Macaca fascicularis: one gene and its partners. The protein of the gene in region 4 purifies or fractionates together with the protein of the main gene of each other region. This does not show direct contact. Links are inferred from orthologs where the notes say so. Each region holds a gene or a part of one and is shown on either strand. Other genes may lie near its edges. The genes, in order: SIRT1, MTA2, PARP1, DNMT1, EZH2, SNAI1 and EHMT2.

What was found.
Region 1: the proteins of DNMT1 (region 4) and SIRT1 purify together in Homo sapiens (affinity purification with western blotting; 3 studies listed by BioGRID and IntAct, with this or other methods). This does not show direct contact. The link is inferred for Macaca fascicularis from reciprocal best matches to the Homo sapiens genes DNMT1 and SIRT1.
Region 2: the proteins of DNMT1 (region 4) and MTA2 purify together in Homo sapiens (affinity purification with western blotting; 3 studies listed by BioGRID and IntAct, with this or other methods). This does not show direct contact. The link is inferred for Macaca fascicularis from reciprocal best matches to the Homo sapiens genes DNMT1 and MTA2.
Region 3: the proteins of DNMT1 (region 4) and PARP1 purify together in Homo sapiens (affinity purification with western blotting; 4 studies listed by BioGRID and IntAct, with this or other methods). This does not show direct contact. The link is inferred for Macaca fascicularis from reciprocal best matches to the Homo sapiens genes DNMT1 and PARP1.
Region 5: the proteins of DNMT1 (region 4) and EZH2 purify together in Homo sapiens (affinity purification with western blotting; 6 studies listed by BioGRID and IntAct, with this or other methods). This does not show direct contact. The link is inferred for Macaca fascicularis from reciprocal best matches to the Homo sapiens genes DNMT1 and EZH2.
Region 6: the proteins of DNMT1 (region 4) and SNAI1 purify together in Homo sapiens (affinity purification with mass spectrometry; 3 studies listed by BioGRID, with this or other methods). This does not show direct contact. The link is inferred for Macaca fascicularis from reciprocal best matches to the Homo sapiens genes DNMT1 and SNAI1.
Region 7: the proteins of DNMT1 (region 4) and EHMT2 purify together in Homo sapiens (affinity purification with western blotting; 3 studies listed by BioGRID, with this or other methods). This does not show direct contact. The link is inferred for Macaca fascicularis from reciprocal best matches to the Homo sapiens genes DNMT1 and EHMT2.

Annotation. Positions count from the first base shown.
Region 1 is NC_088383.1:78,656,511-78,660,272, forward strand, and holds part of SIRT1 (NAD-dependent protein deacetylase sirtuin-1), read right to left. Parts: intron 3,422-3,762; coding exon 3,274-3,421; intron 2,191-3,273; coding exon 2,111-2,190; intron 966-2,110; coding exon 779-965; intron 1-778. UniProt on the Homo sapiens protein: NAD-dependent protein deacetylase that links transcriptional regulation directly to intracellular energetics and participates in the coordination of several separated cellular functions such as cell cycle, response to DNA damage, metabolism, apoptosis and autophagy.
Region 2 is NC_088388.1:11,464,310-11,467,796, reverse strand, and holds the end of MTA2 (metastasis-associated protein MTA2), read right to left. Parts: intron 3,396-3,487; coding exon 3,298-3,395; intron 3,180-3,297; coding exon 3,040-3,179; intron 2,780-3,039; coding exon 2,551-2,779; intron 2,358-2,550; coding exon 2,268-2,357; intron 1,916-2,267; coding exon 1,797-1,915; intron 1,689-1,796; coding exon 1,540-1,688; intron 1,316-1,539; coding exon 1,150-1,315; 3' UTR 507-1,149; downstream 1-506. UniProt on the Homo sapiens protein: May function as a transcriptional coregulator. Acts as a component of the histone deacetylase NuRD complex which participates in the remodeling of chromatin.
Region 3 is NC_088375.1:84,282,999-84,286,760, reverse strand, and holds part of PARP1 (poly [ADP-ribose] polymerase 1), read left to right. Parts: intron 1-1,881; coding exon 1,882-2,004; intron 2,005-2,593; coding exon 2,594-2,722; intron 2,723-3,762. UniProt on the Homo sapiens protein: Poly-ADP-ribosyltransferase that mediates poly-ADP-ribosylation of proteins and plays a key role in DNA repair.
Region 4 is NC_088393.1:10,740,008-10,744,498, reverse strand, and holds the start of DNMT1 (DNA (cytosine-5)-methyltransferase 1), read left to right. Parts: upstream 1-1,578; 5' UTR 1,579-1,602; coding exon 1,603-2,102; intron 2,103-4,491. UniProt on the Homo sapiens protein: Methylates CpG residues. Preferentially methylates hemimethylated DNA. Associates with DNA replication sites in S phase maintaining the methylation pattern in the newly synthesized strand, that is essential for epigenetic inheritance.
Region 5 is NC_088377.1:190,462,549-190,466,918, forward strand, and holds the end of EZH2 (histone-lysine N-methyltransferase EZH2), read right to left. Parts: intron 3,567-4,370; coding exon 3,485-3,566; intron 2,587-3,484; coding exon 2,506-2,586; intron 2,352-2,505; coding exon 2,267-2,351; intron 861-2,266; coding exon 800-860; 3' UTR 536-799; downstream 1-535. UniProt on the Homo sapiens protein: Polycomb group (PcG) protein. Catalytic subunit of the PRC2/EED-EZH2 complex, which methylates 'Lys-9' (H3K9me) and 'Lys-27' (H3K27me) of histone H3, leading to transcriptional repression of the affected target gene.
Region 6 is NC_088384.1:106,067,459-106,071,757, forward strand, and holds the start of SNAI1 (zinc finger protein SNAI1), read left to right. Parts: upstream 1-1,315; 5' UTR 1,316-1,395; coding exon 1,396-1,477; intron 1,478-2,168; coding exon 2,169-2,696; intron 2,697-4,299. UniProt on the Homo sapiens protein: Involved in induction of the epithelial to mesenchymal transition (EMT), formation and maintenance of embryonic mesoderm, growth arrest, survival and cell migration.
Region 7 is NC_088378.1:139,822,651-139,826,412, forward strand, and holds part of EHMT2 (histone-lysine N-methyltransferase EHMT2), read left to right. Parts: intron 1-2; coding exon 3-146; intron 147-232; coding exon 233-468; intron 469-547; coding exon 548-730; intron 731-849; coding exon 850-932; intron 933-1,406; coding exon 1,407-1,513; intron 1,514-1,610; coding exon 1,611-1,733; intron 1,734-1,823; coding exon 1,824-1,925; intron 1,926-2,748; exon of another isoform or gene 2,749-3,006; intron 3,007-3,128; exon of another isoform or gene 3,129-3,249; coding exon 3,250-3,375; intron 3,376-3,466; coding exon 3,467-3,621; intron 3,622-3,706; coding exon 3,707-3,762. UniProt on the Homo sapiens protein: Histone methyltransferase that specifically mono- and dimethylates 'Lys-9' of histone H3 (H3K9me1 and H3K9me2, respectively) in euchromatin.

The DNA of each region.
Region 1 (3,762 bases), on a different chromosome or scaffold from region 4:
TTTTAGCAGAGACAGGGTTTCACCATGTTGGCCAGGCTGGTCTCAAACTGCTGCCCTCAAGGGATCCACACACCTCGGCCTCCCAAAGTGCTGAGATTACAGGCATGAGTCACTAACGTTACTTGTGTTTTGACAACCCTCCACACCCCATCAAAATGTCAGATTCACCAGTCTCAATGAACAACAATGCCACATAAAAAATAGTTGAGCCAGATGTGGAGGCTTGTGCCTGTAATCCTAGCTACTCAAGGGGCTGAGGCAGGAGGATCCTTGAGCCCAGGAGTTCAAATCCAGCCTGGGCAACACAACAGGACCTCATCTCTACTATAAATAAACAATTTCTGGCCGGGCATGGTGGCTCATGCCTGTAATCCCAGCACTTTGGGATGCCAAGACGGGTGGATCACCTGAGCTCAGGAGTTCGAGACCAGCCTGGCCAACATGGCGAAACCCGGTCTCTACTAAAAATATAAAAAGTTAGCCAGGCATGTTGGTGGACAACTGTAATCCCAGCTACTCAGGAGGCTGAGGCAGGAGGATCGCTTGAACCCAGGAGGCGGAGGTTGCAGTGAGCTGAGATCACGCCACCGCACTCCAGCCTGGGCAATAAGAGGGAAACTCCATCTCAATAAATAAACAAACAATTTCGAAAATTAGCTCTTCACCACTCTTTCAAACAGAAGCAGAGTAAGATTACTAGAGTTAGGGTCTATTATACAGATCCACAACCCATGACATTATATATAGAAATGATCTCCAAAAGCCATCACCAACTTACTTGGAATTAGTGCTACCGGTCTTACTTTGAGGGAAGACCCAATAACAATGAGGAGGTCAACTTCATCTTTGTCATACTTCATGGCTCTATGAAACTGTTCTGGTAAATTTTCACCAAAAAACACAATCTCTGGTTTCATGATAGCAAGCGGTTCATCAGCTGGGCACCTAGGACATCGAGGAACTACCTACGAATTTTCAGATTTTGGTTGAGACAGAGAAGCAAACAGTAAGCTCAAGTTAGAAATAGTCAACATTTCCATACCTCTAAGAATACATTTCAGAATTATTAAAAAAAAAAAAAAAAAAAACAGAAAAGCTATAGATAAACAGCAACTGGGTAACAATCTAAACGTCAATGATGGGTAGTTTATTAACATACTATGAAACAGTGAAATACTATGCTCTTGTTATAATATCTATATAGAAAAACACTTGACATTGAAGAGTCCATCATATAAGAGGAAAAACACAATGTGTGTATATACACAAAATGGGAATTGATCCTTTAAAAGAAAAATACACATTTGTAAAACAAAATGACTCCATTTTATTTATTTGAGATGGAGTCTCATTCTGTTGCCCAGGCTGGAGTGCAGTGGCATGATCTCAACTCACTACAACCTCCACCTCCTGAGTTCAAATGATTCTCCTGCCTCAGCCTCCCAAGTAGCTGAGATTAAAGGCATATGCCACCATGCCAGGCTAATTTTCGTATTTTTAGGAGAGACGGGGTTTTGCCATGTTGGCCAGGCTGGTCTTGAACTTCTGACCTCAAATGATCCACCCACCTCAGCCTCCCAAAGTGCTGGGATTACAAGCATGAGCCACTGCACCCGAACAATGATTCCATTTTAATATACTATTCTTCCTCTTTCATAATAATATAATTAACTCTATATATTGCTAAGCACACAGGACATATTTCTGGATAATTTTTATTTTCTGCTACATTTTCCTATATTTTTTGGCAATGAACATGTATGAAATAATTTTAAAAGATTACCACAACTAATTTAAGGTTCAAATCTGACAGGCACAAAAAGAGGAAGGAGAAAAACTACAACAACAACAACTTGCTTATGATCTGATGTTTTAGGTTCGGCTTAGATACTAAGAAGCCAATTTCATAATTTTAACAGACTTTATAGGGCTGTTTTCTATATAAGGTATTGAAAGGTTCTTGTATATTTTACCAAAATTCCCAATTACTATTTTCTTCCTGAATATTTCTGTATCACGTATACCTTTAAGGGTAAAAAAAGGATTTTGAGGCAAAAGAAGAAATACTTCAGAGACATGCACAATTCCTAAAATACGGGAAACAAATTACCTGATTAAAAATATCTCCTCGTACAGCTTCACAGTCAACTTTGTATTTACAAATCAGGCAAGATGCTGTTGCAAAGGAACCTAAAAACAACCAACATATATGTGCTTTATTAATGAAGTATTTCTGTTTCTTGAACACACCACGAATGTTATAAAGTTTGACATCAGAAATGTTAACAGGGTTTAAAGATTTTTAACTTTGATTTTAAACCTCAGAACACACTGCAGATTTTGTGATACACTACAGGAGAATCTAGGGGATGAATAATTTATATATTTATTTATACATAGAATGAACACAATTCTCAATCGCTGAGACAATAATGATGCCTTCTAAAGCTACTCTTTTGAACAAAACTGTAATAACTCGCTCCTGCAGAGCTAAAATCCTGCAGAGTTGAACAGTTCCAATTCTATTACCTTAGTTCAGCAGTTCTTAGAAACACTTTAGATACCTAATGGCGTGTTCATACTTGTTTTACATTAAACATTTCTGAATCTCTGAATTCTGTACATCTCAACTATCCAGTTCTTTTAGTTTCATAAACTAAAGATGTCACATTTCTTCATTAATAGCTAACATTACTCTTGTAATCAGTTTTTTTTTTTTTTTTTGGACAGAGTCTCACTCTCTGTCTCCCAGGCTGGAGCGCAATGGTGCAATCTTGGCTCACTGCAACCTCCAACTCCCAAGTTCAAGTGATTCTCATGCCTCAGCCTCCTAAGTGGCTGGGATAACAGGTACGCCACCATGCCCGGCTAATTTTTGTATTTTTAGTAGAGCCAGGGTTTCACCATGTTGGCCAGGCTGTTCTCGAACTCCTGGCCTCATGTGATCCGCCCGCTTCAGCTTCCCAAAGTGCTAGGATTACAGGCGTGAGTCACCACACCCAGCCAGAAAAGATTATTTAAAATAATTGAATGCATGCAACTGCAGCATCTTTTGAAATCAAAAGCAAATTAATATTTGAGGTTTTATATAATTAACTGTTTTTATTATTTTTGTTTTCTACTTTTCTACTTTTCGGAGGTTATCTATAATTAACGAGATAACATGATTAAATAATGCTTTATCTCCACTTCTCAATGGCAGTCTGCTTTAGAGGAAAAATCCTCCTATAAAACTAAAATAAATTACAGAAAACCATTCTGAAGTTTACTAACCATGACACTGAATTATCCTCTGGATTCCCGCAACCTGTTCCAGCGTGTCTATGTTCTGGGTATAGTTGCGAAGTAGTTTTCCTTCCTTATCTGACAAGGCTATGAATTTGTGACAGAGAGATGGTTGGAATTGTCCAGGATATATTTCCTATATCAAGTAAAAGGTAGAAAAAATTTACATTAGTGAAATAAACTACAGATGTCATATGTTTAACAAAAAACTACCGATAATCCCCCACATATAATTTTAAAAATGAAATAGATGAGCATTTTAAAGTATCTAGATGGATGCAACACACACCTACAAAAGGACTGTTGCTGTCATGTATAAAACTCAGCAATTAGTGAACTTGGCCCCTTGAAGAAAAAGACAAAGTCAGCCCATAAATATCTCTAATAAATGTTGATATTTTAATAAAAGTCAGAAGTAACACAACCTTAGGATATCTAATTTTTGTTGGCTGCAAATTCAGATTTTTTTCTTTAAAG
Region 2 (3,487 bases), on a different chromosome or scaffold from region 4:
AGAGGTGCTCGAGTGGTTCAATGGTAGAATTCTCATCTGCCAAATACACCACACAGCTAGGTGAGGAGATCCTCCTATAACCCCATCACCACCACCAAGGTGGTATACATGTTACCCTGGCTGCCAGCAACTTCCAGAATTCCTTAAGTGAAAGGGAGAGGGGAGTAAGAGGTGGGAAACAGAGGAAGAAACACCCCCATTCTCCTTTCCTATGGAGGCCACCAGTCATCCAGAAAGCTCATCTCAACTCCTTTGAAGGAATCTGGGCCAAGATGGTGCTTGGGCTCCATCACCACTGGGAGCTGGGGAGCAGTTTGGATCCCACAAGAAGGCTAGCTGGAGCAAGCCGCCTCGGTCCAGGCTGCATATCTCATAAAGCTGTTCCCAAGGCAAGAACCATCTGTACCTCCTTTGTTGTCCTTTGTCCTTTATTTTCCCTGTCAAAGACACCCCCAACACACACACAACACACACCCATGGCAAAGAACAGCTGAGCCAGGAGAAGCTGAAGAAAACAGCTTTTTATTTGTTACTATAAGAACCAATTACAGAATCCGAGGTTAAAAAAACGGACAAAAGATCTTTATTTCTGAGAACTGGCGTACAAAAGGCGGAGGGGGAGGGGAGGGAAGGAAAGAGCGAGCATGGCCTGGGGTTGATGCCAGCTTAGGGGCCTCAAACTCCAATTAGGATAGTCCGGACACCGGACAGAAAGAGAAACCCCCAATTAGGAAAAAAAAAAAAAAGACATGGCAGTGCACGCCCCCCTCCCCCAACCAGGTACCACCACCTGTTATCTGTTTACTCTTCCCCTCCCCATCCCCTTTCACAAAGGGAGGCAAAATTTTTAAAAAATTAAAAAACCCTCCCCCCAAAACTGTCCAAGACATCTGTGGGTCCTACCCCCCAAAACAGGCTAGGTTCCCACATGGGCCAAGTTCCTGCAGTCTGTCCTCCATCAGCAAGCATGGAGGCATGAGACAAGTCTCGAGGTTGTAACACCAGAGGGCGCCCAACCCCTCCAGGGACGCACACTCACTTGCTCTCTTCCTTACTCCTCACTCCCTTTGACACGAAAGGGAAGGGAGGTTTGGGTGCCCTGGGCATCCACCCTCTACCTCTCAGCCCACCTCCCTCCCCCACAGGTGCTCAATCCTCCAGGACAATAGGCTCATTAGTGCTGGCAGGATGTGAGGGTGCAGGTAGAGGGACAGGGGGCCGCACTGCCATCAGCGTTGGCTTCACCTTCAGGGGCAAGTTGGGTCGGCGAGCAGCTCGCCGCATTTCCAGATGGGTCAGAGCCTTCCGTAGGGCCCTGGCCAGAAAGAGCAAGTGAGAAACAGAAAAGGCTTAGAGAACACTAAGCCCTCCAGGTGAAGCCCCACATTCCACACTGCAATTCTGCCTTCTGGCCCATTCTTTTCTGGCATCCCCACCCTGCATCCACAACCTTCCTAGAGCTCTTGCTCTGAAACTCCTACTCCCCACACTCACAGCCTGGACTGTCCCTCTCAGCCCCTCCCATGGTAGACTCCCTACCTGGTATCCTTTGTGGCCACAAACACCACAGGATTGGGGGCATCAGCAGGGTTTAGTTTCTGACGCTTGGCGGCTGGCTGTGAGCTTGAACGAATCCCTGAAGCCAGAGGCCTTCCATTGGCAGAGAAAGGAACCCCTGCCCCTGCCATCTGGAAAAGAGGCAGGATGGCACAATGAGGGAAGGGACCCTCTCAGACTCCTATGAGAAACAAAAGCCCACCCAACTCAGCTTGGCCCACCCCTTTCTGTCAACTCACAGTCTCATAGGCCCGTTTCACCATAATGCCCCCCAGTCCCCGGTTCTGGGACAGCTGGTTTCTGTTGATCGGTGTCTTGGTACCCCGAGGTGTTTTTGGTTTCAGGGGTGCCTGGGCCACTGGAAAAAAAGTAATAGAAAACTTTCACACCTTTTCTTCCCTACACAGTTCCCCTTTGTTACTTCCATCTCTTCCCCTGGACCAGCAGTTTACCTGGGCATCCCCAAAAGTAGCAATGGGGTAAGGTTCTGGCAAGCTATCACTAGTATTTCAAATATCAGTATGACCTTATCAAATCAGTACAGTAACACTGAATAGTTTACAAAAAAAATTATTAAACAACAAAAGTACAGTTTGTTAGACTAAATCTCTGAGGACACTATGGGGAAGAAGAAAACAAGGGGAGAGAAGATGTTGGACAGGGAACGGACTGGGAGCCTGATGCCACCCTCACTGGTCCTCATCCCATACCCAGATCTTTGACGATAGTTGCCAGGGGCAGCCGCACCAGAGGGTGAATCTTCAATGGAGTCTTGGCGGCCTTAGGAAGTCGAATGGAGCCTGCAGAACAAAGATGAAAGCTTCTGAAGGGCTTCACCATTCAGGTCTCCTCTGAGGCCAGAAGCCAAGTCTAATCTTTAAAAAATTACCTGTGGCCTACTATGCCTCCTGTTATTAAACATCCAGAGAAACAATCGTCTCTGGGCAGAGCAACCCTAAACCCACCACCAGCCCCATCACTCCCTGTCCTTACACTCTGCTTTGATGGCATTGGCATTGATAGGAGCATACGGCCGTCGGGCAGCCCTCCTCGGCTGTAATAGGTCCCTGCACATGCGTCTGGCAAGACGGGTCAGTTTCGTGGTCTGAAGCAGGAAAGTTTGCCTGTTCTTAGCCAGTAGCTTGGCCCGGTTGGCGCTGGTTGTATAAGGGGAGAGACTTTGAGCTTCAGGTCTGGACAAATGACCCCTCGAGTGTGGCTCCTAGAAGAAGAGCATAGGAAAGAGAGAGAGCAGAAATCAGCATTGAGGCTCCCTTCTTTCTTCCATTCCCTGCAGAAGACAATTTATTCCTGCCTAATCTCTTTACTGACCTCTTGGCCTATATGTCTCCCCAACCAGCATCAAGCACCCCCTGCCCATCAAACCATCACCATATAAAGAGTTGGATATTCTGGCCCTCACCTAAGCTCACATCAATATGCTTACTGCTCTCCCCTGCTTTTACCCCCACTGATCCTTACCGTGGTACCCCGAGTGGCTCCCTCAAGCTGAGTTGGGGTCTTCAGTCCCCCATATTTCTTCCAGTAGATCCAACAGGAAGCACAGAGGCGGCACTGCATGTTAGGTGGGCCCCAGGCATACCACTGAGCAGACTGTGTGGCTGCAGAGCATGGAGAGGAGGGGGACAGGGAAGAAGCATGCTACCTGAGCCCCACAGATTCTTGAGCCACAGCAGGCCTTCCACCCATCCCCACCATCCCAGTGCCCCCATAACTCACTGTGGCAACTCTCACAAGTCAGGCCCTTCTGAAATCCAGCCCCATTCATGCCAGGTTTTGAACCCACAGAAATGATCTGGTTAGGGTTTGGCTTAGTGCTAATGGGGAAGGCGAGGAGAAGGGAAAAAACCAAGAAACTGGTCAAGGAAAAGAATCAATTTCCACTCTCAATGTGACCCTACCTCCTGCC
Region 3 (3,762 bases), on a different chromosome or scaffold from region 4:
GATACATAGTAAACTGCCTATAAACTTGAAGACGTTGGTTACCCTCTCTCTTAAAAGTAAAGGCATCCCTCTGTATCCTCGAGGATTGGTTCCAGGACTCCCTTGTGGTCACTAAAATTCACTCATGCTCAAGTCCTACAGTCCACCCTGCAGAACCCATGGAGGAGAAAAGTTGGCCCTGCACATCTGTGGGTCTCGCATCCTGAGATTTTTTTTGTGGGAGGGGGAATTTTTCTTTTCTTTTTCTTTTTTGAGACAGAGTCTCGCTGTGTCCCCCAGGCTGGAGTGCAGTGGCACAATCTCAGCTCACTGCAACCTCCGCCCCCAGGTTCAAGCGATTCTCATGCCGAGTAGCTGAGGTTACAAGCATGCGCCACCACGCCCAGCTAATTTTTTGTGTTTTTAGTAGAGGTGAGGTTTCACTATGTTGGCCAGACTGGTCTCGAACTCCTGGGTTCAAGTGATCCGCCCACCTCAGCCTCCCAAAGTGCTGGGATTACAGGCATGAGCCACCGCACCTGGCCTGAGAATAATATATTTTTGATCTGAGTTTGGTTGAATTCTCAACTGCAGAGCCCACAGGTGTAGAGAGCTAACTGTATTTATTGAAAACATCTGTGTATAAGTGGACCTGCACACTTCAAATCGATTGTTCAAGGGTCACCTGCGTTGTGGTTTTTATTTTATGTGTCCTTAAGAGTTAGGCAGAGTTTATTGTGCAGTTACTAGGAAGTCATCAGATGGAAACCTTTCATTCATGTTATTTCAACATTCTTCAAGCATCTTTCAAGGTCTCCCAGTCCTGGAACCTTCCAGCTACATCCCGGAGAAGCTGGAGGGTTCCGCTTATGTTTGTGGGTGGATACAGGCTTGGCCTATAGAAAGAAGGAAAGCACACGGGAAACAGAAGTGGGCCTAGGCAGCGGGCTTTCTGGCTGGTGCTGGAGAAAAGGCCCTGAACCGGATCTGTCAACTCCAGTTACAGCTGGCTCTGAGCAGTGAACGTCTCTCCTTATTCCTCACTGACTGAGAACTTGCAAGGCTTTCCTCAGCCCCTGCTTCTTCCCATGCCATAGTCTTCAGGTAGAAGAGCTGGAATAGCATCCTTACCCATTTCCAGAGCCACCTGGGCAGCACAGATGGAAGTTGTACGACTTGGTGAAGTCCATGTTACAGCAAGAAGCAGGCGTGGGGCTTCAGACCTGCTGGGTGCCACTTGATACCCCCTTGACCTTCTTGTGGTCACCTAGGCTGTCTGCCAAATTCCTGGAATCCCAATGGCCCCACTCTTCATCTCTGTGCATTTTTTGCACACCCTTTACATATAGAGCACCAAGTGACACTGGCAGTAAGTGTAAGGGTTGCTTAGCCTTTCTGTGCCTGGCCACTTCAACCTCCGGGTACAGTAAAAACTAATGCCAATGAAGGTCAGTGGAGACAAGGAGCCTGACTGAATTTTATAGCAATGGGCAACTTCCTCCCAACATTTTATTATGAAAATGTTTCAAACATACAAAAAGTTGAAGAAATTTTACAGCAGTAGTCATGAGCCCACCACCTAGATTTTACAGTTAACATTTTGCATAGTTGTGGCGGGGTTTCAGATGTCTGTAACTGCACAGTTCTTTGTACAAATGAAAGTTCATGGGAGAAGCCCATTGTGTTGAGCAGTGCTTTTAGAGGATGGGGGTCCTGTGCTGCTCAGTGGTGTAGCTTTAACAGGAAGGTGGTCTTCTGGTCGTTTCCCATGCATCCTGGCATGTGCACATACCACGCTACTTCTGGACCTGCTGCAGCACCCACCTGCTAGAAGAGAAAGCCTGGCCGGGGGCTCGGAGCTGCTTCGTCAGTCTTGTGTTCCTTCTGTCCCCTCGTCTCCAGGCAGTGTCTCAGGGCAGCAGCGACTCTCAGATCCTGGATCTCTCAAATCGCTTTTACACCCTGATCCCCCATGACTTTGGGATGAAGAAGCCTCCGCTCCTGAACAGTGCAGACAGTGTGCAGGTACACAAGGGTTCAGAAGGGACTGCAGGTCTGCTGGGCGAGGGTGTGACTCCCTTGCAACCGTCCCTCCCCGTCATGATCCCCGAGGGCAGCGCCGATGCTGGGAGGGCCACCTCCTTGCCCTTGTTTTGAAGTTGGGTTTCTACCCACACTGATGGAGGCAGAGCCATTTTTCCTGCCTCTGTTCCACCAAATCCACTGGGGAAAGAGCTGTTGGAGAGGGAGAGCCTCTCCCTCATAACAACGTCTTCCTCCCCATTTTCCCTCTCTGCCTTTTAAGAGAGCTCCTGGCTCAGGAAACATTTGTCTGAAGTACCTTCATTATAGGTCCCAAATGTCAGCTTGTATGAGAGGAAAGACAGTTCTTCCACCTCTCAACTCCCCCAGGCCGCAAGGCCTTGTTAGCATTCCAGGAAGTCCTTAGGAGAGCTCACTGTGTGCAGCAGGTAACAGGCTGGCCCTGACCAGCAGGAAGGTTTGCCCTTCACTGTGTTGAACGTTCTCTGCATGTAGGTTTTCTCTGCCACCTGGGTGAGTCTGTCTCACTCACCATGATACCTAAGTCAGGGGCTTGCTTTTGCTCCTCCAGGCCAAGGTGGAAATGCTTGACAACCTGCTAGACATCGAGGTGGCCTACAGTCTGCTCAGGGGAGGGTCTGATGATAGCAGCAAGGACCCCATCGATGTCAACTATGAGAAGCTCAAAACTGACATTAAGGTAACAGGGTCAGGCCTTCCTCAAACATTTAACCTCATCCTGAGAGCAGCGGTCCCATACTTGCATGTGTGTTAGGATCTCCTGGAAAGCTTGTTAAAACACAGATGGCTGGTGCCCAGTAATTTACTTTTCTAACAAGTTCCCGGACATTGCTGCTGGTGGTCCTTTGAGAACCTCTGGGCATTTCACATGTAGATAATGCACCTTGCTTGCAAGGCAGCCTTCCAAGCCAGCACCTCAGCTTGGCATACAAATTGATTTTTGAGGGTCTTACCAAAAGTTCTTTTTTTTTTCCCCCTCCTTAATCTAGAGAGGAACTCTGTTTTTCTAAACCCTTGTGGTGTGAACTTTTAGAGGGCTTATTACCGATGTCCATTTCAGAAGTGGAAATGCTTGATGGCAGCTCTAATAAAAACACAGTGCTTGGGTTCATTTTTCTCTGGAGCTAAAGTGGCCTGTGTTGGCACACACAGTCTCTGAACACCCTGCTTAGACCAACAGAGGAGGGATTTTTGCCTCAGCTTCTAGATGGCCCTGTCCTTGAGCCTATCTCCACGCTCATGTGCCCCATTGTCCTCAGCCCATTCCCTGCAGTGTTGCAGGGGTTCAGGTGGGCTAGTGTGTTGAGTCTGGTACCAGGTGTTTACATCACTAAAGAAAGAGCCTTTGCTCCTTTCCTAGGACAAAGTGTAGATCTGTGAGTCCAAGCAGGTAAGACGCCACATGTCACTTATTTTGCCCCTAGAGCACCTTCCTGATGGGAAAACTGTGGGGGTGGTTCTTTGTGAAGGGATTCTTATTCTCTGTTTACAATTCTGAAGACTTTTAATTAAAAGACAGTGAGGTAGACCAGCATTCCTAGGTTTTCTGAACTTTGAATATAAATATGAAAATAAAACATAACTAGTCTCATCTATAATACTCAGGTTTACTTAGCATAGATTACGTCAGCTATTTGACAGCTGCTTGTTAGGCTTGTGCACTGAGCCAGGGATAATTTTAATTGCACATCATAGCTGTGACTTCCTCTGGCCCATTGT
Region 4 (4,491 bases):
ATTGGCCAGGCGTGGTGGAGTACGCCCGTAATCCCAGCCTACTAGGGAGGCTGAGGCATGAGAATCGCTTGAACCTGGCAGGCAGAGGTTGCAGTGAGCCAAGATCTCACCACTGCACTCCAGCCGGCGTGACAGAGTGAGACAAGGTCTTACCCCGTCGCCCAGGCAGGAGTCCAGCGGCCCAATCATAGCTCACTGCAGCCTATACTGCCAGGGCTCAAGCCATCCTCCCACCTCAGCCTCCTGAGTAGGTAGGATTACAGGTGTATGTCACCATGCCCAGCGAATCTTTGTATTTTTTGTAGAGATGGGGTATCCCTATGTTGCTCAGGCTGGTCTTGCACTCCTAACCTCAAGCGATCCTCCCACCTGGGCCTCTCAAAGCACTGGGATTACAGGCATGAGCCACTGCGCCTGGCATAGTGCTTCTTAATTTATTTTTACTTTTTATTTTTATTTTTTTGAGACACGGTCTTGCTCTGTCTCCCAGGCTGGAATGCAGTGGCGCAATCATGGCTCACTATAACCTCTGCCTCACTGGTTCAAGCGATCTTCCTGCCTCAACCTCTAGAGTAGTTATACTACAGGCACACGCCACTACGCCTAGCTAATTTTTGTTTTCCTTTTTTTCTTTTAAGAGATGTGGTTTCTCTTAAACCAGGAGGCGATCCTCCTGCCCTGGCCTTCCAAAGTACTGGGATGACAGGCATAAGCCACGTGGTGCTTAAAAAGGGGAACAAAAAACCCCACACACACTGGGTATAGAAGTGGCACGGGTCTCTATACACTGTGAGATTCTTGGTACTAGCTACAAATTCTGTGCATACTCAAGATTTTCTAGAGTAGGTGCAATTACCCCGTTTTACAGACGAGGACACAGAGGCTGAGTCCTAGTGACCCATCCAAGGTCGTACAGCCAGCAAATAGATGGAGGTTGAATTGGAACTGAGGACTTTACTCAAGGGCTCTCACAAGCCCTTGGGGACTTCTTGCTGCTTTATCCCCATCACACCTGAAAGAATGAATGAATGAATGCCTCGGGCACGGTGCCCACCTCCCAGCAAACCGTGGAGCTTGGACGAGCCCACTGCTCCGCGCGGGGGTGCGTGACCGCCTCGCGCATGCGTGGTCCCTGGGCATGGCCTGCTCCGTTCCATCCTTCTGCACAGGGTATCGCCTCTTTCCTTTTGGTACATCCGCTCCCCCCTCCCCGCGCCCGGACTGGGGTGGTAGACGCCGCCTCCGCTCATCGCCCCTCCCCATCGGTTTCCGCGCGAAAAGCCGGGGCGCCTGCGCTGCCGCCGTCGCGTCTGCTGCAGCCTCCGAGATGCCGGCGCGTACCGCCCCAGCCCGGGTGCCCACACTGGCCGTCCCGGCCATCTCACTGCCCGACGATGTCCGCAGGCGGTAGGTACCGTGGGGGGAACGTGGACTCGGGGGGCCAGGCAGGGCGCTGGGTGGGGGGTCGCTTCCCCTCGGGGTGGCCAGTGGCCGCTGCTGACAGACGGGCGCGCATGCGTGGGGTGGTGCGGCGCGCAGCGGCAGTTGGCGCGGGCAGGGTGGCACTTCCGGTCGCGCGTGCCCGGGCTGTTTGGCGCCAAAATGGGCTGTGGATTCCCCCGTAGCTCCCTGGTGGCTAGAAACTGGGCGGGGTGGGGGTTCTCTTTTGATCCCCAAATACAGCAAGCTTTGGGTTCGTCTCCGGGGTCCCCTTCTCCAAGCAGCGGTGGGCCGGGCTCCTGCCTCCAGCTTGGTAGCACAGGAAGTGGGCAGCCCGCGGCCAACGGACACCCCTCGGGCACCGGCACTTCGGCCTCCACTTCCGGTGTCCGGCCCGGTCCCCGGTGGTGCTTCTCTGGTGGGGGGTCCCTCAGTGCCTTTCCCCCAAAGCTGTGCATCCCGATGGCGGCCTCCAGAGACGGACGTCACCGGTCGGGGCCCGGGCTGGGCTGGCTCATGTTTGAGAGCCCAGCCTTCCGTAGGGGGAACTCATTCTGTCACTTGGGACTGTGTGTTCCTTGCTCCTTGGGAAAGTCTGTGTTTTGGCAGGAACTTGAACCGTGCAATGCCGCGCAGGGCCCGGGAAGCGTGAAGGCTCCATGGTTGGTCTTTTCCTGTAAATCTGTGCCTGTGAGCCGTGGGCATCAGGGAAGTCTTGCTATTGAGAACTGGCTACACTTTCGTGTGTGTTTGCGTGTGTTCGTGGGTGTGTTCTTTAGTGTGTGTGTCTAATGTTGGAGGCCCTGGCTTTAGCAATTCATGCCTCTGTCCGACTTCCGTGCACAGGATCAGTGGGAGCAGTGGTCCCAGCCCCTTGTCCATGAACGCCATCTATTCATTCCTAACAACTTGTTCAAGGGAGGTGTGCATGAGGCATAGGAACCCTCACCAGGCCTGGACACTTCCAGCTGAATCTGTGAAAGCACTCTGCCATTTTTCTATTTCCTTGGGCTTGTTAACTGGCCTGGTTGGGCCTTTGGGGAGGGATGGATATTTGGTTCGACCCCCTACTTTTTTTTTGAAGGCTGGGTGCTGTGGCTTACGCCTGTAATCCCAGCAATTTGGGAGGCAGTGGCGGATGAATCTCTTGAACCAGGGGTTTGAGACCAGCCTGGGCAACATGGCAAAACCCCATCTCTACTAAAAATACAAAAATTAGCCAGGAGTAGTGCCATGTACCTGGAGTCCCAGCTACTCAAGAGACTAAGGTGGGAGTATCACTTGAGCCCCAGAGATTGAGGCTGTATATAGTGAGCCGAGATCGTGGTACTGCACTCCAGCCTGGGTGACAGAGTGAGACCCTGTCTCAAAACAAACAAACAAACAAAAACAACAACAACAACAATTTTATTTTTAGAGATGAGTCTCACTCTGTTGTCCAGGCTGGAGTGCCCTGGCACAATTATAACACACTGTAGCCTTGAACTGCTGGGCTCAAGGGATCCTCAGCCTCCTGAGTAGCTGGGACCATAGGCGACCACCACCATGCCCAACTGACTTTTAGTTTTTTCTGTATACATGAGGTTTCACCATATTGCCCAGGTTGGTCTTAAACCCCTGCCCTTAAGCAGTCCTCCTGCCTCTGTGTCCCAAAGGTTAGGGTTACAGGTATGAGCCACCATGCCTTAACTACAACTTTTTTATTTTGAGATGGAGTCTTGCTCTGTCACCCAGGCTGGAATGCAGTGGCGTGATCTCAGCTCATTGCAACCTCCACTTCCGGGGTTCAAGTGATTCTCCTGCCTCAGCCTCCTGAGTAGCTGGGATTACAGGTGCCCACCACCATGCCTGGCTAATTTTTGTGTTTTCAGTAGAGTTGGGGTTTCTCCATGTTGGCCAGGCTGGTCTCGAACTCCTGACCTCAAGTGATCCACCCGCCTCAGCCTCCCAAAGTGCTGGGATTATAGTCAAACCACTTCTTAACCAGTTAGTGGGTATATACCTTCTTGAATCATCTGTACCAGTATCCTCCCAAGATAAAACTTGATTTAAAATGGAATGGAAGTGAAGTTACAAAAGTACCTGGCTTCATGATGTTAGACCCAATTCAGAGAAGTTTGGGCCCGGCCTTCCTTTTTTATTCCTTTTTTTAATTTTGTAGAGACGGAGTCTTGCCATGTTGCTCAGGCTGGTCTTCAATTCCTGGCCTCAAGCGATCCTCCTGCCTCAGCTTCCCAAAGTGTTGGGATTACAGGTGTGAGCCACTGTACCTGGCCTGCCCAGCCTTCTTGAAAACATGGCCTCCACTGGCTCGATGATCTTAAACAAGCATATGCCACCTCTATATCCATAGTCTAGGAATAATGACATGTGTTTTCAGGTGGTATTGGGTTAAATGAGAATATGCATGGCACATAAAGGTTCATATGCTAGTGGCTAACTTAGCTTGTTTTTTAAGTTTTTTCTTTTAAGACACGGGATCTCACTGTGTCACCCAGGCTGGAATGCAGTGGCATAGTCATGGCTTACTGCAGCCTCAAACCCATGAGCTCAAGCAGTCCTCTTGCCTTAGCCTCCTGAGTAGCTGGCACATGCCACCATGCCCAGCTAATCCTTAAAAAAAATTTTTAGAAGGCCGGGCTCAGTGGCTCACGCCTGTAATCCCCGCACTTTGGGAGGTCAAGATGGGTGGATCACCTGAGGTCAGGAGTTTGAGACTAGCCTGGCCAACGTGGTGAATCCCCATCTCTACTAAAAAAAAAAATTAGCCAGGTATGGTGGTGGGCACCTGTAAACCCAGCTACTCAGGAGGCTGAGGCAGGATAATCGCTTGAACCCAGGAGGCTTGAACGGAGGAGGTGGAGGTTGCAGCGAGCCGAGATTGCGCCATTGCACTCCAGCCTGGGCAACAGGAGCAAAACTCTGTCTCAAAAAAAAAAAAAAATTTTTTTTTTTAGAGATGAGGGTCTTGCTTTGTTGCCCAGGCTGGTCTTGAACTCCTGGGCTCAAGCAGTCCTCTGCTTTGGCCTCCCAAAGGGCTGATATTACAGG
Region 5 (4,370 bases), on a different chromosome or scaffold from region 4:
CCCAAATTCTGAGACCGACCACATGGTAAGGCATGCAAGGCACATGTTGTTTCCTTGATGCTTAGAGTTTGTGATTTTTACCTCTTCTTTGAGAAGATATAAAACTAGTTTGGTTATACCTGTCAGTAGGTAGGTAAGGAATCCCAACTTATATTGTATTTCTAAAGAACTCTATCTAGACTAACGGCATTTAGAACTAGGTGAGTTCTTAAAAATAAGCTAAGTCTACTCTGTCAGTTTATATATGGGGAACAGACTTGGAGGTTAAATCACTTTCTCCAGTTTGCACAGCTGACTGGAACGTACCCACCCACCCTGGTCTTGTCTATAAAATCAAGCCCTTTACTGGGTCAGCCCTCAGGATGCACAGCAGTTCTTCATATATGAATGTCTTCCACATATTACCAGGCAGTATTAGTTAAAATCAAGATTCATACAAAGACAACTAAAAAACTCAAGGAGGTAAATTTAAAAGTTTTTTGTTGGGCAGTACTAAAAGCAGTTATTGACATGTTATGAGAGATGACTCAACAAGGACAAGTTCAAGTATTCTTTATTCAAAGTTGAAAAATGTACCATACTGCATTATTGCAAAAATTCACTGGTACAAAACACTTTGCAGCTGGTGAGAAGGCAATAAAAAGTTGATTTTTAAACTCATTACTATAAATTATTCTTACAGTACTTTGCAAATTCAGAATTTCAAACTGCATTTTCTTTTTCTAAATTGCCCACAGTACTCGAGGTTCCTGAAGCTAAGGCAGCTGTTTCAGAGAGGAGGGGGAGGAGGTAGCAGATGTCAAGGGATTTCCATTTCTCTTTCGATGCCGACATACTTCAGGGCATCAGCCTGGCTGTATCTGAAACAACAGGAAGAAGCAGAAGTCCGCTGGATGACCACCCATCCAACATGTGCTGAGACTTACTTAACACAACAAAGCCTGCTGAAGACAGTGGGTGCATTAAAATGTCTTAAAACAAAACAAAACAAAACAAAAAACCATCCAATTATACAGCTGCCTGCATAAGGGCACACTCGTAGAAGGCAATGCGTAGGTCTGTGTTGCTGGCCATCTAAGTGAGACGCTGCCAAGTTCTGAACTGAACAAACCTGTCTACAAGCATTTCCAGAGCTTGCCCAGCCTCCCCTATGCCTCTGAAGCAAGTGGCCCCAGGAAGGCTGGTCCACATCATGATGTTTAGGTCCGACGGTGGAAAGGCAAAATAAAACCATGGTCTGGAAAAAAACGATGACCATGGCAAAGAGGGCCAAAGAGCAGCCCGCCAGTTGTTCCCCCAGGTGAAGAAAGAACTGGAGTACAGTGGACACCCAGAAATAGTGGGTGGGGCCACCAGGCCCTCCCAAGGAAACTGGATGGCTTTGCCTCCAACCCCAGCTCCACCCCACACTCTTCATTCAGAGCCGGCCTGGAATGAAGGCAGCGGCCCTCAGTAAAGTAGGCCTTTCACTCAGACCCTGTCTGCCTCACTGAGAGCTCTCGGCTATGCAACAGCCATTAAAGGCCAGCCTGAATATTCAAGAACTCAGTACTCAAAGACAGCTTCTGGATGGGATGTACATGGGACCACAGGAGTTCATTAACTAGACAGTCATCTGACTGCACCTAAATCTGTATTCAATGGATGACTTAAATGTATCCCACAGAGCTTGACTGTGTCAACTGGCAGCCTAATGCCTAACCACACAGATACCATCGGTGGCCCACATGTCCCAGGCATCCCCACAGGGTGACCAGACAGTGATTTGCCAACAGCACCTTTTAAAATGGTAATGATACGTGTAATAAGTATTATAGCAAACAATAAATTAAGTAGATCTAATCAGTAAAGATATACATAGTATATTGTCAAGTAAAACCATGTTGCAGAAAAATCTATAGGACAGTGTGATCACACTTATCTGGAAAAACGCTCCACAAGCAAGCATGCAGCATGCGGCATGATATGAGAAGGTCTAGGACTCACCCAGCTGTCAACAGCAGGGTGAGAAACGGGGCTTTCTGCATGGATTTGATTCTATTTTTAAAATAAGCATGACTTTTATAATAAATAAATGGATCGTGAATACATAACAGGAAAGTATAACCTAATTCCCCACTAATGCTCAAGGCAAAGTGACCCGTCAAAACAACTCACCCCCACCCCTCAGCACATCTAGCAAAGAACTAAAAAAATCCTTCGCCCAGCGTTCACGATCCAGTAGAAAAAGCCCTTAGAGATCATGTTAGAAATGTACTTTACCAACCTGTAATCAAAAAACAGCTCTTCACCAGTCTGGATGGCTCTCTTGGCAAAAATACCTATCCTGTGATCGCCGTTAACCATCATAACTGGAAAGAGACACACTGGTGTCAGTGAGCATGAAGACAGGCCACGGGAGGTTAACTGACTTGTTCACATAACAAACAACTATCCCAGAAGTATTCAAGTCCATCATCACAGGATTAAAAAGGGAGTTCCAATTCTGACGTCAAAGATACCTACCTTTTGCATAGCAGTTTGGATTTACCGAATGATTTGCAAAACGAATTTTGTTACCCTTGCGGGTTGCATCCACCACAAAATCTAAAAAGAGGAAAATGAGCCCAGTGAATAATTTCAGTTATAAGTAAATCAAGTTATTATGATTCTGTAAATGCAACCGGTTATAGTTCTTCAGGGTTTGCCTGCAAAAGCAAATAAATCATTCAAGCAACTTCATTCAGTAAGAAATGACATTTGGAAGAACACACTATTGTTCCAGGTTAAAATTAATCACCTATAATTCAAGATGGTTATCTGACACAAAAGCTATTAATTATCAACTATAAACATACATTACTAAGCAAAATAAAAAAAAAATTAAAAAGAATCTGACAAAATTCTTCTGAACATCAATTCATTTAACATTAGTTTTTTTTATAATGTCTATAAAGCATTCCTAGAAAAAATCTATTCTACTTGTTCCAACTAAGAGTTTCTCTGAATATCTTACATGTTAAGCCAACCTCCCACCAGAACAATCCCACCAGAAATATCCCTACAGACTTACATTCTACCCCAGAACATCAGCTATGAAAGCAACTGCCTTTCCTCCCAGTCCTTTGAGAATATCCAGGGGAGTCTGGCTCCTCCCCTCCTTCCCAGCTCCGAGGCACTGACTGCAGGAGGTGAGCTGAGCTGCCTGAACACAAGAGGTGAGGCAGCAAGAGCACAACATCCCCGTCACAGCCAGACACTGGTACAGCGCCACTCACAGATGGCCAGGGCTTCAGAGAGGCGGTTTCCTGCACACCTAGTCCATCTGCTCCCTGAGGAATTCCTTGCTCCAGTTCCTTTCAAGCAAGCAGCCCCCGATGCCTCTAAGGAGATCCTCCTTCTGGTCACCTCACTGACCTCCACCCTCGTTTCTGAACACTTGGCAGGCAGAAGGCTGCCACATGCAACTCAGAGGAACTCACTGCCTCCCAGCTCAGATACATACCATTGTTCAAGTTGAACAGAAAGCTGCACATGTATTTATCATATACTTTCCCTCTTCTGTCAGCTTCATCTTGAGAAATAATCTAAAAAGAAAGACACAAGAGAAAATTCTTTTGGATAAAGGTGATCAAGTCTGACAGCACATGCAAAAGCACACACAGTGAATACTGGACCTTCGGAAGAAAACAAAAAGGGTCACTACAGCCAAGTTCTCTTTCCCATTCAGTCTGCACACTGATAAATCTAAGAATAACTGTATATTAAGGACCCCAACTCAGAAATATTTCCACATCCTGAAGTAATTATCCTTGGAGAAAGTGAGGAACCAAAGTCTTCTCGCTGAGCTTAAAAAAAAAAAAAAAAAAACACACACACACACACACAAGTTGGCCGCAGTGGCTCACGCCTGTAATCCCAGCACTTTGGGAGGCTGAGGCAGGCAGATCACCTGAGGTCGGCAGTTCAGGACCAGCCTAACCAACATGGAGAAACCCCATCTCTACTAAAAACACAAAATCAGCTGAGCGTGGTGGCACATGCCTGTAATCCCAGCTACTCGGGAGGCTGAGGCAGGAGAATCGCTTGAACCTGGGAGGCGGAGGTTGCAGGGGGCCAAGATCGCACCATCGCACTCCATCCTGGGCAACAAGAGCGAAACTCCATCTCAAAAAAAAAAATTGGGGTGAGTTGGTTCCAAATTGAAGCTAGCCCTATGATTTTTCGGTAACTCAACAATTTAGAAGGTGAATAACTAATGACACTGTTGTTTCTACATCCTTATCAACCAGGTTGTGGATTAAGCAGGACACTCTATGGTAAAGCTCCTGTTCTCCCTGCTGACCATAGATGAGAAAAGCTGAATGTGGCTAGAACCAAGCAATCCTGTT
Region 6 (4,299 bases), on a different chromosome or scaffold from region 4:
AGTCTTCCTTCACAGGTGGAAACAAGAACGGTGAGACCTGTGAGGTTTATTTCAGCGCTACTCCCGGGCCTGGTATGCCTCCCAGGGAAGCTGGGGTGGGGGTGCAGCTGCCCCTCACCTGGGCCCACCCCACATGCATTCAGTCAGGGCCCCTACAGAGCAACGTTAGAGCCTTTAGACACAGGATCGAGGATCTTCACAGGGGTGAGGAGACACGCCCGGCCCATCCCTTCTTTCTCCCGCCGGCCTACAAGGATCTTTTTCTACGAAACTCTAACCAGGTCCCTCGTCAGCTGAAAATCCTTCGGTGGCTCCCCAGTGCCTTTGAGGCAAAGTCCAACCTCCTACGAGGCCCTGGGGCACAGCACATCTGACCCCTCCGGGCCTGCCCACCCCACGCCATCCCTGAGAGCTGCTCTCTAGGAGTTACTCTGAAGCAGTTGCCACTTCTTCCCTCGGGCCTTTTCCCTTGATAATTCTTCACTTCCTCTGGGAAGTCACCCCGACCCCCTGTCAGGTGACCCGCCTCTTAACGGTCGCTGCGTCCCGTCTCTCCCCCGCCAAAGCACACTTCCCTTTGCATTGTAATTGTCTGTTTACTTCGTCTGTCTCCCCCACTGGACCGGGAGCTACCCTTCGGGAGAGGCCTTGAATGTCCTGTCCGGGGCTGTGCCCTGCCCCAGGTACAGCTGGGCCCTCCGCAAACACTGGCTAAGGGAAGGAACGGGCGCTCTTCGCTAGCTGGGCCAGGCTGCTTTGCAAAACGGCCGTAGCATTTCACGCCGCCAGGAGCCACGTGCGGTGTCCGTTTCCTCGCTTCCTCCCCAGCAATGTGCATTTCCCTCGTCAATGCCACGCTCTCCAGGCGCCAGCCGGGCGGAGGAAATTTCCGCCCCCTCCTAAGCCCGAGGCGGGGGCGGGCGTCGGAAGGTCAGGTGTCCCGGCCCGCGCGCAGCGCCAGGGGGCGTCAGAAGCGCTCCGACCACGGGGCGCTGAGCAGGTGGGCGCGCGGCGTTCTGGCGGGGTCCCACCTCGCAGGGGCCTCGCTTCGCTCGACGTCCCGCCCCGGACAGTCCGAGCACCACGGACGACCCGCGCTGCGCCTGCGAACTCCGCCTCGGAGGAGCCCCCGCCCGGGCTCCCAGCGCCACGCGGCGCGAGCCCGGCCAGCCCCCGGCGCACCTGCTCGGGGAGTGGCCTTCGGCGGAGACGGGCCTCCGATTGGCGCGGAGGTGACAAAGGGGCGTGGCAGATGAGGCCCCTCCCCTCCCACCCCCTTGGAGTATTTAAGGGAGTTGGCGGCGCGGCTGCTCTCATTGCGCCGCGGTCCGGCCTTGTGAGTGGTACGTTTGCGCTGCTCCTGCGCGACTCGGCGACCCCAGTGCCTCGGCCACCATGCCGCGCTCTTTCCTCGTCAGAAAGCCCTCCGACCCCAATCGGAAGCCTAACTACAGCGAGCTGCAGGACTCTAATCCAGGTGTGTTGGAGGGGTGGTGGGCTCCAGGAGGTTTGGGGGAGACAGGCGAAGGCTGCGTGGGGGCCACCTGAGGGAGGCGGCCTGTCTGAGCCAGGATCGAGTCACAGGGTGTTTTGTGGAGCATTGCGGGCTCGGGCTCGGGCTCGGGAGACCGGGCAGGTGGGTCCCCAGTCCTGGGGATCGGTCTGGGTGGTTGGGGGAGTGCTGTGTAGAGAGCAGGGGTTTTGTGCTTGGGTGGCCTGTGTAGCCGGCGAGAGGCGGAGGAGCTCCGCGAGAGTGGGAGAGGAGGCCTGTGTCAGGAAGGCCCTCTGGACGCTGCTGGGGAGAGTCCGGAGTCCAGAGGGTTGAGGGGAGGGGTGGGGAGACGAGATGTGTGTGAGGAGGGGGATTGGGGCAGGGTGGTGGCTCCAGGGCTGGGGTGATGGGGTTCTGGCCTCAGGCTGGGGACTTGGGACTTAGGAGAGGGAGATCTGGAAATGACCCCCTTCAACTGGGGGTCCTACCTGTGAGAGACTCAGATTGGGTGACCTGGGCCAGGAGGGCAGGAACCTGGTCTGTCCTGTGGATCATTTTTTTGATCTAATTATGTGTTGAGAATCAGCCCTACCCAGCCCCTGGCCAGCGGTGGGTTCATGTTTGTTGATTGAGTGAATGATTTAATTAACGCCTGACTCTGCTTTTTCTCTCTCAGAGTTTACCTTCCAGCAGCCCTACGACCAGGCCCACCTGCTGGCAGCCATCCCACCTCCAGAGATCCTCAATCCCACCGCCTCGCTGCCAATGCTCATCTGGGACTCTGTCCTGGCGCCCCAAGCCCAGCCAATTGCCTGGGCCTCCCTTCGGCCCCAGGAGAGTCCCAGGGCGGCAGAGCTGACCTCCCTGTCGGACGAGGACAGTGGGAAAGGCTCCCAGCCTCCCAGCCCACCCTCACCGGCTACTTCGTCCTTCTCCTCTACTTCAGCCTCTTCCTTGGAGGCTGAGGCCTATGCTGCCTTCCCAGGCTTGGGCCAAGTGCCCAAGCAGCTGGCCCAGCTCTCTGAGGCCAAGGATCTCCAGTCTCGAAAGGCCTTCAACTGCAAATACTGCAACAAGGAATACCTCAGCCTGGGTGCCCTCAAGATGCACATCCGAAGCCACACGCTGCCCTGCGTCTGCGGAACCTGCGGGAAGGCCTTCTCCAGGCCCTGGCTGCTACAAGGCCATGTCCGGACCCACACTGGTAAGTGCCCCTCCAGGCGCCCCCACCGTTGCTTTCTGTGGCAGCTTTGTGAATTGGGACTTGCTGTTCTCATTCGCAAAGTTGTGGACACTGAGGCCCCGAGTCTCCTAACTTCTAGCTCAAGTTCAGGGGCCTGCTCTCTGGAAATGTTTGGCAGAAACGTTCCTTCATCAGCTAAGCAGATGAGCAAAGCAGACACCTTCCCAATCCCTGCAGCCTGTTTCTCAGCCAAATGGGCTGGAGCTGGATATCGGAAAAGTGCAACCAACACCTTGCTCTGGGGGCCACAGGTGTGAAGGGGCCCACCCAGCCCCACCCTCTCCCGGTCCGCCCCCTCCCTAGCCAGACAGGATGTTGTCAGACCCCCCACCTGGCTCTGAATCCTTTGAGAACTTTCTCAAAGCTTAGGCTGATGTTTCACTTCTGTGAGCCTCATTTTCTCTATCTTTCAGATGGGCATGAGAACAGCTTGTGGGGTTTCTGTACGGGCTAAATGCAGGAATGCATATGGGAATCACCTGGCAAAGTGCCGGGTACCTGCTAAACTGTCACAAAAATGGTTCCTTGGCATTTGCTCTGCTTCCCTGCTGTGTGACTTTGGGCAAGCAACTTAACCTCTCTGAGACTCGGGAGAATTATGATGGCATATGTTTTAGAGAGTGGCTGTAGGCCGGGCGCAGTGGCTCAAGCCTGTAATCCCAGCACTTTGGGAGGCCGAGACGGGCGGATCACAAGGTCAGGAGATCGAGACCAGCCTGGCTAACATGGTGAAACCCCGTCTCTACTAAAAAAAATACAAAAAACTAGCCGGGTGAGGTGGCAGGCGCCTGTAGTCCCAGCTACTCGGGAGGCTGAGGCAGGAGAATGGCGTAGACCCGGGAGGCGGAGCTGAGATGCGGCCACTGCACTCCAGCCTGGGCGACAGAGCGAGACTCCGTCTCAAAAAAAAAAAAAAAAAAAGAGAGTGGCTGTAAAGGTGGCTAATCACTTTATAGTAATTTATTATACCCGAATAGTTCTCAGGTCGGCTTCCCCACCCCCACTCAATCCTAGCACACACACCAGAAAACAGCAATTTTAGGGCAGAAAACACAATCACGTCTTTCGAAAATTTACTAAATATGTAGAAAACTTTCTGGACATGGAGAAAAGGTAGAACTTTTTAGAACTTGAACGGTGGCAGCCACTGTGCCTGGAGCTGCTCTTTGGAGAGGGACAGTTGAGGGAGAAGATTCCACAGGGTTCAAGCTGGCCAGGTTCTACCATTCCTGGCCCGGCGCCTGACCTCTGAGCAGTGAGGGTCAGTGAGGTATCTGGGAGGACTGGCATTTCGCGGGCTTTATTGGCATCTTATTCGACTAAGGCTACCCATTTCTTTTCCTTCCTGCACCAGTAGCCCTGATTTTAACATGTAAAGGTCCAACTGCTGGGCTCCCCGTGCCTGCCCAGCTCACAGGGCTCTATTTTGGGAGATTTGAACCCCTCAGGATGCTGCTCTCCTGCCTGCCTCTCTCGCCTCCCATCCGGACATTATTTTAATGTAAAGGCATGGCTGAGGCACAGAAATCCCCTTGAAATGTATCATTTCGGTCCTCATTGACTC
Region 7 (3,762 bases), on a different chromosome or scaffold from region 4:
AGCTGTCAGGCTGCAATGCCGCCATCCTCAAGCGGGAGACCATGAGGCCATCCAGCCGCGTGGCCCTGATGGTGCTCTGTGAGACCCACCGCGCCCGCATGGTCAAACACCACTGCTGCCCGGGCTGCGGCTACTTCTGCACGGCGGTGAGTGACCAGTGGGGCAGACAGGTAGAATGCCCCATGGCAGACGGGGCCCCGGCAACCTGACCATGTCGTTTCCCTGCTCCCAGGGCACCTTCCTGGAATGCCACCCTGACTTCCGTGTGGCCCACCGCTTCCACAAGGCCTGTGTGTCTCAGCTGAATGGGATGGTCTTCTGTCCCCACTGTGGGGAGGATGCTTCTGAAGCTCAAGAAGTGACCATCCCCCGGGGTGATGGGGTGACCCCACCGGCTGGTGCTGCAGCTCCTGCACCCCCACCCCTGTCCCAGGATGCCCCCGGGAGAGCAGACACTTCTCAGCCCAGGTACTGGCCTCCCCCTTCTCTACTGTCTGTTCCCTGCCCCATCACTATTGTTCCTGGACATGAGCTCCTTCTTCCACAGCGCCCGGATGCGAGGGCATGGGGAGCCCCGGCGCCCACCCTGCGATCCCCTGGCTGACACCATCGACAGCTCAGGGCCCTCCCTGACCCTGCCCAATGGGGGCTGCCTTTCAGCCGTGGGGCTGCCACTGGGGCCAGGCCGGGAGGCCTTGGAAAAGGCCCTGGTCATCCAGGAGTCAGAGAGGTGAGTGGGGAGTTGTTCAGGCACAGTAACTGGGGCTGAGGCCAGAGGAGCAGTGTCAAGACTGATGCTGGAATCTGAGGAGCTCCCCTTCTCTCCCCACTCCCGTGCTCCCTTGGCAGGCGGAAGAAGCTCCGTTTCCACCCTCGGCAGTTGTACCTGTCCGTGAAGCAGGGCGAGCTGCAGAAGGTGATCCTGATGCTGTGTGAGTGCCACCTATTCCTTCAGCAGACCTTGACCAAGTTCCATGTATATACCAGGCACTGGGCACAGGGCCAGGAGTAGTCATGAAGGATATAGTCCTTGCCCTGAAGGACTTAGTGTGGTGGGGAAAAGACACACATAACCCGTGACGATGGGAACGGTGGTGACTCATAGGTGCTGGGTCCTGTTCTGAGTGCTTATACTTGTTAGCCTTGGCTTGCACAGGGAGGTTAGGGACGTTGCACAGTGCACAGCGGTACTGAGAAGCAAGGCAGGGTTTGAATTCAGGCAGAGCTGATGCCTTTGACTCCTTATTCTGATAAATGCCGTGGTGGAGGCAAGCCCAGAGAATGCCAGGAGGGGCCCTGACCCAACTTGGGGCTCTGAGAAGCCTTCCTGAAAGAAGTGCCACCTGCCCCCTAGCTTGCTTACCACTTGTCCCTCCCTCTCCCGGTGTGGCGGGCTCTCCCCGCAGTGGACAACCTGGACCCCAACTTCCAGAGCGACCAGCAGAGCAAGCGCACGCCCCTGCATGCAGCCGCCCAGAAGGGCTCCGTGGAGATCTGCCATGTGCTGCTGCAGGTCAGCACGGGCCCGGCCCCATGCCTCATTCACCAGGCCCTTAGGCCCCTCCCCTGCCCCATGCCTCCCTGGTGCCAGCCCTCCTGCCCCCTCACAGGCTGGAGCCAACATAAACGCAGTGGACAAACAGCAGCGGACGCCACTGATGGAGGCCGTGGTGAACAACCACCTGGAGGTGGCCCGTTACATGGTGCAGCGTGGTGGCTGTGTCTATAGCAAGGTGTGCATGCAGGCAGCAGGGCGTGGCCCCGGAGTCAGGGACCAGGTTTGGGGTGCCAGCCGGAGACTCATTTGCCCATGTCTCCCTCAGGAGGAGGACGGCTCCACCTGCCTCCACCACGCAGCCAAAATCGGGAACTTGGAGATGGTCAGTCTGCTGCTGAGCACAGGACAGGTGGACGTCAACGCCCAGGTCAGTGGCCCACCCAGCGCAGCTCCTCCGGCTCCCTGGTGCCTGGGTTCCTTGGCTCGGCCTCAGACTTTGGGCCCCCTTTCTACATCTGACCTCTGGCCCTTTCACTCTGCCTCAGGCCGCTTGTGTCTGTCCCCCTTGCTTTCTTCCTCATTTGTATTTCTCTTCATTCTTTTCTTTTTCTTGTTTCTTTCTCTTGATCAAGCTTCAGAATAATCAGTTCCTGCCTTCATCTCTGAAAGTGTCCAGTGAGGCTTTTTTAACTCTCAGGTTGTCATACATTGGATGTGTTTTCGTCATTTATTGGGATTCTTCTCAGTCTTTGAATTATTCCATCATTATCTAGGAGAAGCCCCTTCAAGAGGCCTCTGTGGCCGTGACATGACCCAGTGGCCTTTGAGAGCGTCCTGACCTTTCAGCACATTTCCTGCCCCTGACTCAGCATCCACCATTTCTCTAAGAAACTCTGCTTCCTTTATGGGAAACTTTTTTTTTCTTTTCTTTTTTTTTTTTTTTGAGATGGAGTCTTGCTCTGTTGCCCAGGCTGGAGTGCAATTGCGTGATCTTGGCTCACTGCAACCTCCACCTCCTGGGTTCAAGTGATTCTCTTGCCTCAGCCTCCTGAGTAGCTGGGATTATAGGCACCAGCCACCGTGCCCAGCTAATTTTTGTATTTTTAGTAGAGATGGATTTTCACCATATTGGCCAGGCTGATCTTGAACTCCTGACCTCATGATCCACCCACCTCGGCCTCCCAGCGTGCTGGGATTACAGGCGTGATCTGGCCACTGCGCCGGCCAGAAACATGTTTTAGAGAATAGTCTATGGACCTCGGAGTGTTTATTATTACTGGGTGGTCACTGCTTCTAGGACTTGTGAATGGGCAGACTGAGGAAATTTTTGTTTGTTTTTTGTTTTAAGAGACAGAGTCTTGCTGTGTCACCCAGGCTGAAGTACAGTAGCAATTCACAGACAGTCATAGTTCACTGCATTCTCGAAATCCTGGGCTCAAGCGACACTCCCATCTCAGTCACATGAGTAGCTGGGACTACAGGCACGCGCCTCCATGACCAGCTCCTGGCTGTATTTTTTGGAAAGAGAACAATTACTCACTTTACTTTCTCTCCGGCATCAGGCAGTAGGCACTACTAGTCCCATTTTTTAGATGAAGAAACTATGACCCAGAGACGTTAAGTGACTTACCCCGGGTCCCACAGCTCGTGAATGGTGGAGCTGGGATTCACACACACAGCCAATCTTGACCATTTGCAGCTTTGGTGAGCAGGCCCAGCCGCCCCCACCCTCACTCCCTTCCCACCCACAGGACAGTGGGGGGTGGACGCCCATCATCTGGGCTGCAGAGCACAAGCACATCGAGGTGATCCGCATGCTACTGACGCGGGGCGCCGACGTCACCCTCACTGACAACGTGAGTGAGAGTTTGGTTGAGGTAGGGCAGCCCCAGGCCCCTGAGCAAGGTGGAGGCTGGATTCAAGGGCCCAGCTGCCTGCACCTCATCTGTTCCCCTCCTATCTCCACAGGAGGAGAACATCTGCCTGCACTGGGCCTCCTTCACGGGCAGCGCCGCCATCGCCGAAGTCCTTCTGAATGCGCGCTGCGACCTCCATGCTGTCAACTACCATGGGGACACCCCCCTGCACATCGCAGCCCGGGAGAGCTACCATGACTGCGTGCTGTGAGCCCCTGCCCCGCCCTTGATGCCCCTGCCCCCACTTCTTGCAGCCTCAGACCCCACATTGGGCACCTTGTCCCCTCTTCAGGTTATTCCTGTCACGTGGGGCCAACCCTGAGCTGCGGAACAAGGAGGGGGACACAG